2 linked regions of the Coturnix japonica genome follow. The protein of the gene in region 1 interacts with the protein of each later gene in a biochemical or structural test. Links are inferred from orthologs where the notes say so. Each region holds a gene or a part of one and is shown on either strand. Other genes may lie near its edges.

Region 1 (2,926 bases):
GGTAGTAAGTGTTGACATTGACAGGTACACTAAGGAGTGCTACTTTTCCTCCAGATTACCAAGTTTATATGTTACTGCTTGAATGCCTCAGGTTCATAGTCTGAATACAATGGGCCTTGCAATGCAAATCACGCGTGCTGGACAAAAGCAGGTAATACTGCTGTTCAATGTATACTGAATGGGGTTCTTAAGTTTGGCTTTCTCAGAACTTAAGGCTATAACACCGCAAGATCCTCTTAATTGGAGTAATTCCTAGTGGAGTGGCTTCACATGCAAGCTTTCAGAAAGAATTTTTTTTTAGCTTTCATTTCACTGTTTCTTTGTTCATTACCCAAGTTAGACAAGAAGCTTCCCTCAACAGTTACACACACAGAATGGTAGCCAAATCAGGTGAAGCTAATAGCAGAACATTCTAGTACATCTGTTAGATATACAGGAAAAAGTAAAAGCAAAAAGAGAAAAAAAATTATCACAGCTACTAAGAGAGCCTGAATGGTTAGCAAGAGACTGAAAGCTTGCAAAGTGAAAATCCAGTGACTGTTACTAAGGAATATATGCACTGCAAATACAAACAGCACTAAAAACATTAAATTGCATCTAAGCAAGTTAAAAAAGGTAGTTAATATGAAACTAAATACAGGATTAGAACTTGTTCCACAGTTGTGCCTCTGCTGCGTACTACAGCTTAGCACCTAAAAACAACTCTTCAGACATCACTTGTTAGAACAGTGAAACAATTCAATCAGTTCATACAGAAGCATGCTTTTGCCTCTTGAAGATGTGAAGAATCCACACACACCCCTTAAAGCTCAGAATCACATTTAAAAGTAGAGACTATTTACAAATACGTGGGTTTTCTGATGTTACTCCATGCATAAGAACAAGGTCACTAGTGCTCGTTTATATTTACAAATGCTTATTCCTTTACACAAGCCAATCATCTGGGAGTTAGTTGCAGTGCAAATAGTCTTATCTAGATGCAACCTTCATCAAAACATGAATATACCTTGTTTGTTTCTTTCTAAACTTTTCTTCTTCATACCTTAGTGGGGAAAAGTTTGATTTCAGTAAATATACAAAGGCCAAATTCAATAGAAGCTACAAACTGGTATCAGTGTAAATATAATTTGTGGAAACATACCAAGTTTTAAAATGGAAAAAGAAAAAAAAAAAAAAAAAAAAAAAAAAAAAAAAAAAAAAAAAAAAAAAAAAAAGTTTTGCACCTTCAACATCATCAATTGTTATCACAATTTAATTACTGCAGCATATTGACCCAGAACAACTTCCTGTATGTTATTTAGCCATCACTAAAGTTTAAAATTTGTATTTTTAAATAGTTTAAAACCAGATATCAAACACAGAAGTCTGAGAATTAACTACTATAAAGAATAAGCTTGGCTGACCTCTGATGACTGAATCAGGTTGCCCAGAAAAGCTGCGGACACTCCATCCCTGGAGACAAGGCTGAATGGGGCCCTAGGCAACCCAATGCAGTGTGTGGCAACCAGCCCACAGCAGGGTGTTGTAGCTCGATGGGCTTTAATGTCCCTTCCAACCCAAGCAATTCTTTAGTACAGAAAGTAGCTGTGTAAGTCTAGGAATGACAGCCTGGACTTCCCTAACATACCCTTCAAAAAGTCCCATGAAAATATTCCCAAAATAGCACAAAGCTGCTCCAACTGTCACATCTTTCGCCCTCAACAAAAAAACTGCATTTGCTCTATGCTATATAGAGCAATAAATAAATAAATAAATAAATAAATTTCACAACTAACACCAGCTCAATGTATATTGCAGCACCCAGCAGTCAGTTCATCCAACTGCCCAAAGCAATACTACACCATCTTCCTTCATAGAGTTCTCCATTAGCCATCACATCTGTGATCACCTACTGCGGCACATACCCCATGGACTCTGCATGTTACACCTTCCAATTAATTTACTAACAGAATTATTAATATTATTAATATTCCCATCTAGCTTTTCAAAACAGAAGTTTATGATTTCTCTTTATCACTGCATCCACAGATTCAAGTGTCATTACCACATCTGACAGCAGAGTTGTGCTGACATTAGATGGATATTATATGGCAAGGACCTGAAAGGAAGGAAGAGCAGAAGGAAAAAAGAAAATCAAGGACACTGGATACTGCCTTCCCCACTCTGCCAAAGCAGTTTCAGAAGTACTGTGGGTACAGATTCAAGCACTTTTATCCACAGCTTTTTTCAAATGAAATTCCTACCCAAGTGGTATTTCACTTCTTAATTTGTAGTGCAGTTTAGCATCAACGGTGAAGATATCACAAATAAGCCCAACAGAAATGCACAGAATTTCTTACTCAAGCCCATTTAGCATACAGCGAGTAGAAGAACTGCAGCAAGGCCTAATCTGCAGAAGAGTAGATACATCATAAACTGCTGATTATGTGAGACACTATACACGAAAGTCCTTGTGCATTAGCATTCCTTCTGTTCGATTAGATATTAAAACTGTAGTTCAGCAATTCCTCCTAGAAATGGCAGTTACTTAACATATCAAGTATTACATTCAAACCAATCACTAAATATATTAAACAGCGCTTCCTAAACATGTCAACATAGAACACATTTGAATGTTAAGACGTACTGTTTTATGCATTCTGGGATGCCAACGTATTCCATGGGGATGAGTTCAGCTAGTTCTGCCAGGGTAAAGACATACCTAATTTTCTGACTGAATTTTGAGCTGTGAAGAAGAAATGCAGGGTACGGTTACAACTTAAAAGGTATTCATTAGGTCAATATTTAAACAGTTAAAGACTTAAACTTTTATAAAGAAAAACAGCATCCATATCATTACCTAATAAAAGGTTTTGTGATGGCCAGAAGCGTTCTGATGAACCAAGAAGGATGAACTATGATTAATGACTTCAGATTCTTCCTTAAC
Region 2 (4,255 bases), on another chromosome or scaffold:
AACAGCCAGCAGGCAGCAAGCCAAGAGGAACTGTAGGAACACAAAATGATACCTTACATCAGCAAGACTCCCTGTAACAGTGCTGCTCCGACAGGCTTGTGCTTGTTTTGCCTTACGAGGGGAGCAAAGAGCTAACAGATGATCTGAGGAGGCACACTGACTTTGTGTGGAAAGAAGATAATTACAGTAAAGCCATTTCCTTTAGCAGAATGGAGGGGACAAGAATATATTGCATCTTCCATCCCTAGAGCTTGACTGTGTATCCATCCAAATTAAAAGATCAAGCCCTGAAGACATGACCTGCAAGAGCCCAAGCACTGGAAGGTGTCACAGCCATGTTCAGGGCAACACTCAAGACCACGCTAGGTGTATTTTGACATAAAAGGAAATGGAACAGTTACCATTTGTCCCTTCCCCCCAGACTACTCCAGAAGCTTACCTCCTGTCCTCCCTTATCTCTTACTCACCACTTTACAACCAGTTTTCGCTTCTCTCAGGCTCCCAGAGGGCAAGGGGCCTTGCTAAGCAAATGAAATTAGATTCCCGAAATATGAAAGAGCAAGATGCATCTGGGCAGTGGATGGTCAAGGCTGTACGGCAAACACACAGGGTCTGACCACTGCAGCCAAGCAGAGGCCCAAGCAAGGCCCTTCCCTGCCCTCCTGCAAGGACTGAGAGCTGCCTGACCTCTCTGCTCTCAGAAGAGCAGAGAGCAAGAAATCAGGTTCTTCTGAACCATGAGCTCATGCCAGAACCACGCAGCAGCAGGGCCAAATGACAAGCAACTCCCCACCCCTAGCAACTGCTCTGATTTCTATGGTAACGCGAGGCACTGATCCCTATGACTCAGTGAGCTGAAATCATTCCCACTGCAGCTCAGCAGCCCCACCGCCCAGCCCTGCACAAGGCATGATTAATGCAGCTCTCAAGCACTCCTCACTCCAGTGGGCAGAGGCCCTACCTACCTTCAGCTGCTGCCAGCCACTGACCCAGGGAGATGCCCTCTACACCAAGCTCTTGAGGATGCCCTGTATAACAGTGCCCCCTAAGCAGTCTTGATGCCCGTAAGGACCAAATCCAAACCATCCCAAAGAAAAGCGATAGTACTGCCACCAGGCCAGCAAGACACCAAGTTTCCCTCCTTCTCACTACAAGGACCACAACTTGGCTTCAGGGACAACTGGCAGCACACCACCAGTGCTATAAGTGTTGGCTATTTGACAGCACTGGCAGACTTCCCCTTTGGCACGCTCCTACAATTAGTGCTGGTGTGGCACCATGAGGCAGGAGGAGGTCACCGGGACTGTCTACAGTTCCACACCAGGCAGAGAACCCAGAGAAGACCTCTTAGATTTCAGGTTCTGCTTGTGAAGCCCCAGGGACCTTCAGAGGGCTTTCTACAGAACTTCCCCTGCCCTTTCCCACTGGTGCTAAAGACAGAAGCACACAGTCTCTCGCATCAGAGCGATTCAGAAAAACACAGCGTTCTATGTGTCCAGGAACTGATGGGCACTGAGAAGATCCGGAGGTGAGAGCTGAGAGGTAAGAAACTAAGCGTGGAACTGAAACCAGGACAGCCCTTCTGTTTAGATCCTCACAACTCCACATGCTTCGTTTTCTGACAGTGACTGCACGCGATTTTTTCCACCTCCTCAAAACGAGCCACAAGCTGGACCTGCCGCTGACTGGGACGGCCATCCTGCATTAGTATAAGGGCAAAACAGCTGTCAGACAACAGCACTTCACCAGACATAACACGGTCTAAGAACGTCACATTTAGCAGAGAAATAGCATGGCAAGACGCAAAGCATACACCCTGCACAGCCAATCAAAATACAAGCACAATGATGATCCCAGATTTAAAAAGTTAAAGGCCTACTTCAACATTTCCAAACAAAAGAACCACACTTGGCATTAGGAGCACTTCTCCAAAGAGCCAACTACTTCCATTCCTCCCAAGTGCTTTCTGCTCCTGTCCGGGCCGCTCTCAGCACTCGCTGAGCCACGTGCTTTGCTCTCCAGCCAAAGAAAAAGGCCATTTTTGCTATGAGAGCTGCGGTGCAGAACAGCACGTTGTGCAGGAGGGAAAGCTCAGCCCTGTACAACACAACCTTCACACCGCTTCTGAGCGGGACGCTGCTTACACACAACCCTGCTGCACTGCACTGGCACACCAGAAAGGAGCCCGGTACCCCCTAACAAAGCAACGTGCAACCAAAAAGCCGCCCCGCTCCGGTGCTGCCGTTATTTTTCTGCCCCTGCTGCCACCTGCAGCTCCCGCCGGTTTCACTTCAACAGCAGAAACGTTCTGTATTTCCGTACACACCAAACAATTCCTGCACCGCGCTACAGCCCGCACAGCAAACACCGCCCAGTAATGAAAACACGAGGGATAACAACTCTTACAAGGTACGGCCCACGGGAGGGCTCCTCTCCGCACTGCACAGCAGCAGTCACTCAGTCACAGACCTCAGGCTCTCCCGACTCCACAACACAAAGCCCCGAGGCCGATTCTCTCCGTGCACCCGGCCATGCAAGCAGCCCGTTCCAGGCTCCCGAGCGGGGCCACTTCCCGCCCAGCCGTCCGGCTCCTCCCCTTCCCCAGCAGCCCGGCCCGCACCGTACGTGCCCGCTGACACCCGGCCTGCAGGCCCCGCTGCTCCGAGCACAGCCGTGTCGCCACCCCCCTCCGCCTCCGGTACCTGCGGCCTCCTCCCGCCCGGCCCCTCCGGCATCCGCCTCCCGCCGGAAGCGCTGCCCGTCGCCGGGGAAACACCGCCCCGCCCTCCGCGGTTCTCCGGTGCCTTCCGCCCTGTGGCCCGGAGCTGGAGGCGGCTGAGCCCCCGCTGGTACGTGCCTGCGGCCTCGGCGAGCCGCCCGCTGCAGGACCGAGCCCTCCACGGGCGGTAGAAATCCTGCCCAGCTGCCCTCTGCGGTGAGGGGAGACTTTGCCCACCTTCTGTCGTTAAATAAATGAAGTCATAGAGTGATGGTTTTCCTGCGGAGCCCTGGGATGGCTGGGTAGTGGCCTCTTTCCCCGAGGTTTGTGCTCTGACCCAGCAACAGCCGGTTAATTCACCCAGCGTGATTCTGTGTTTGTGCAGGCGATTCCTACTTCTTCAGGATGCGGCCCGACAAAACCAGAGTCCTTGACGTCCCCTGTTGAAGCCCAGAGGCTGCTGCCAAATGCTTCCATAGGCTGCCAGGAGAGGAAAGCACTTCTCCCGTACATGAGCCGTGGCAAGCCAAAGTGCCAGGGACTGAGAATGAGCACCTCAAGGCCATCTCAAACATCAAAGCCAGCAGCAGGTGCAGGGAAGAAATGGACAAGGGTGTGGGTTGTGGATCCACAGCAGAAAATTAGAGATGGGGCAAAAAGAGGCACATTCAGGAGACCTGGATCTGTCCTTTTCCTCATGTTGGGTTCATCTCGGTGTTTGCATGGGCATGTGGGCCAGTGATGCCAGAACAGCTGGGCAGGAAGCCCAGCAACGCAGTCCTGAAGAACAATTGTAGTTACTTGCAGGAAAGAAAGCAACATTTCCAAAGTGTCTACATTGGCATCTGAGAACATTAAAAGTTGCTTTCATTTCTTACACTACTAGTAGCATACTACAGTGAGCACAGTGAATTTTCACTGTCCCCAGCTGAGGAGTTCCTTACCTGCCCAGGTAAGGATTTACAGTTCACTTCAGTACGCTCAGAAGATTTTTGCCTCTCTCTTCCTTTCTCCCGATCTTTTTTCTCATGTTCTTGCTTCCTCTCTGCCACTTTTCTGCTCCTCCGTCATAAAGCCTACAGATGGCACAACCAGCACTACAGCCCAGGTATTCCCACTGCTCCATCTTCTTTAGTGACCATTTGCCATTTGAGATGAATAAAATAGTGCTGAATAAAACTGATGCCTTGTCAGGAAGAAAATTTTTTTTCTGAAGGCCTAATAAGAAAAGATCAACAAAACCGGCCCTAACAGAGTCTTTCCGACTTGCACATGTAGCACAAATGCTGCTTTCATTTACTGCCTCCACAGATTTAGCCTTCATCTCCATTCTGCCCCTCTCCAACAGCTGCATTTCCCCAGGAGGCTTTGTTTAGAGGCCTGCGTTCTGTGAGCTTTTAATGTCTACTGTACAACAGGAAATATGGCATCATGTGAGAACGATCAATAGCACTGCTCCCTTTTGGGGTGCTACAAAGACAGCAGTGTGGCAATCTGAGATGTCAGATGTTCATTTTTTTCCTCCATAAACTTTAA

The links.
Region 2: the proteins of BNIP2 (region 1) and ARHGAP1 form a complex in vitro, tested with the Homo sapiens proteins (2 studies listed by BioGRID). The link is inferred for Coturnix japonica from reciprocal best matches to the Homo sapiens genes BNIP2 and ARHGAP1.

Annotation. Positions count from the first base shown.
Region 1 is NC_029525.1:4,468,483-4,471,408, reverse strand, and holds part of BNIP2 (BCL2/adenovirus E1B 19 kDa protein-interacting protein 2), read right to left. Parts: coding exon 2,840-2,926; intron 2,726-2,839; coding exon 2,627-2,725; intron 1,043-2,626; coding exon 1,007-1,042; intron 1-1,006.
Region 2 is NC_029520.1:20,940,016-20,944,270, reverse strand, and holds the start of ARHGAP1 (rho GTPase-activating protein 1), read right to left. Parts: upstream 2,806-4,255; 5' UTR 2,703-2,805; exon of another isoform or gene 2,621-2,702; intron 2,594-2,620; exon of another isoform or gene 2,407-2,593; intron 1,192-2,406; exon of another isoform or gene 468-1,191; intron 1-467. UniProt on the Homo sapiens protein: GTPase activator for the Rho, Rac and Cdc42 proteins, converting them to the putatively inactive GDP-bound state. Cdc42 seems to be the preferred substrate.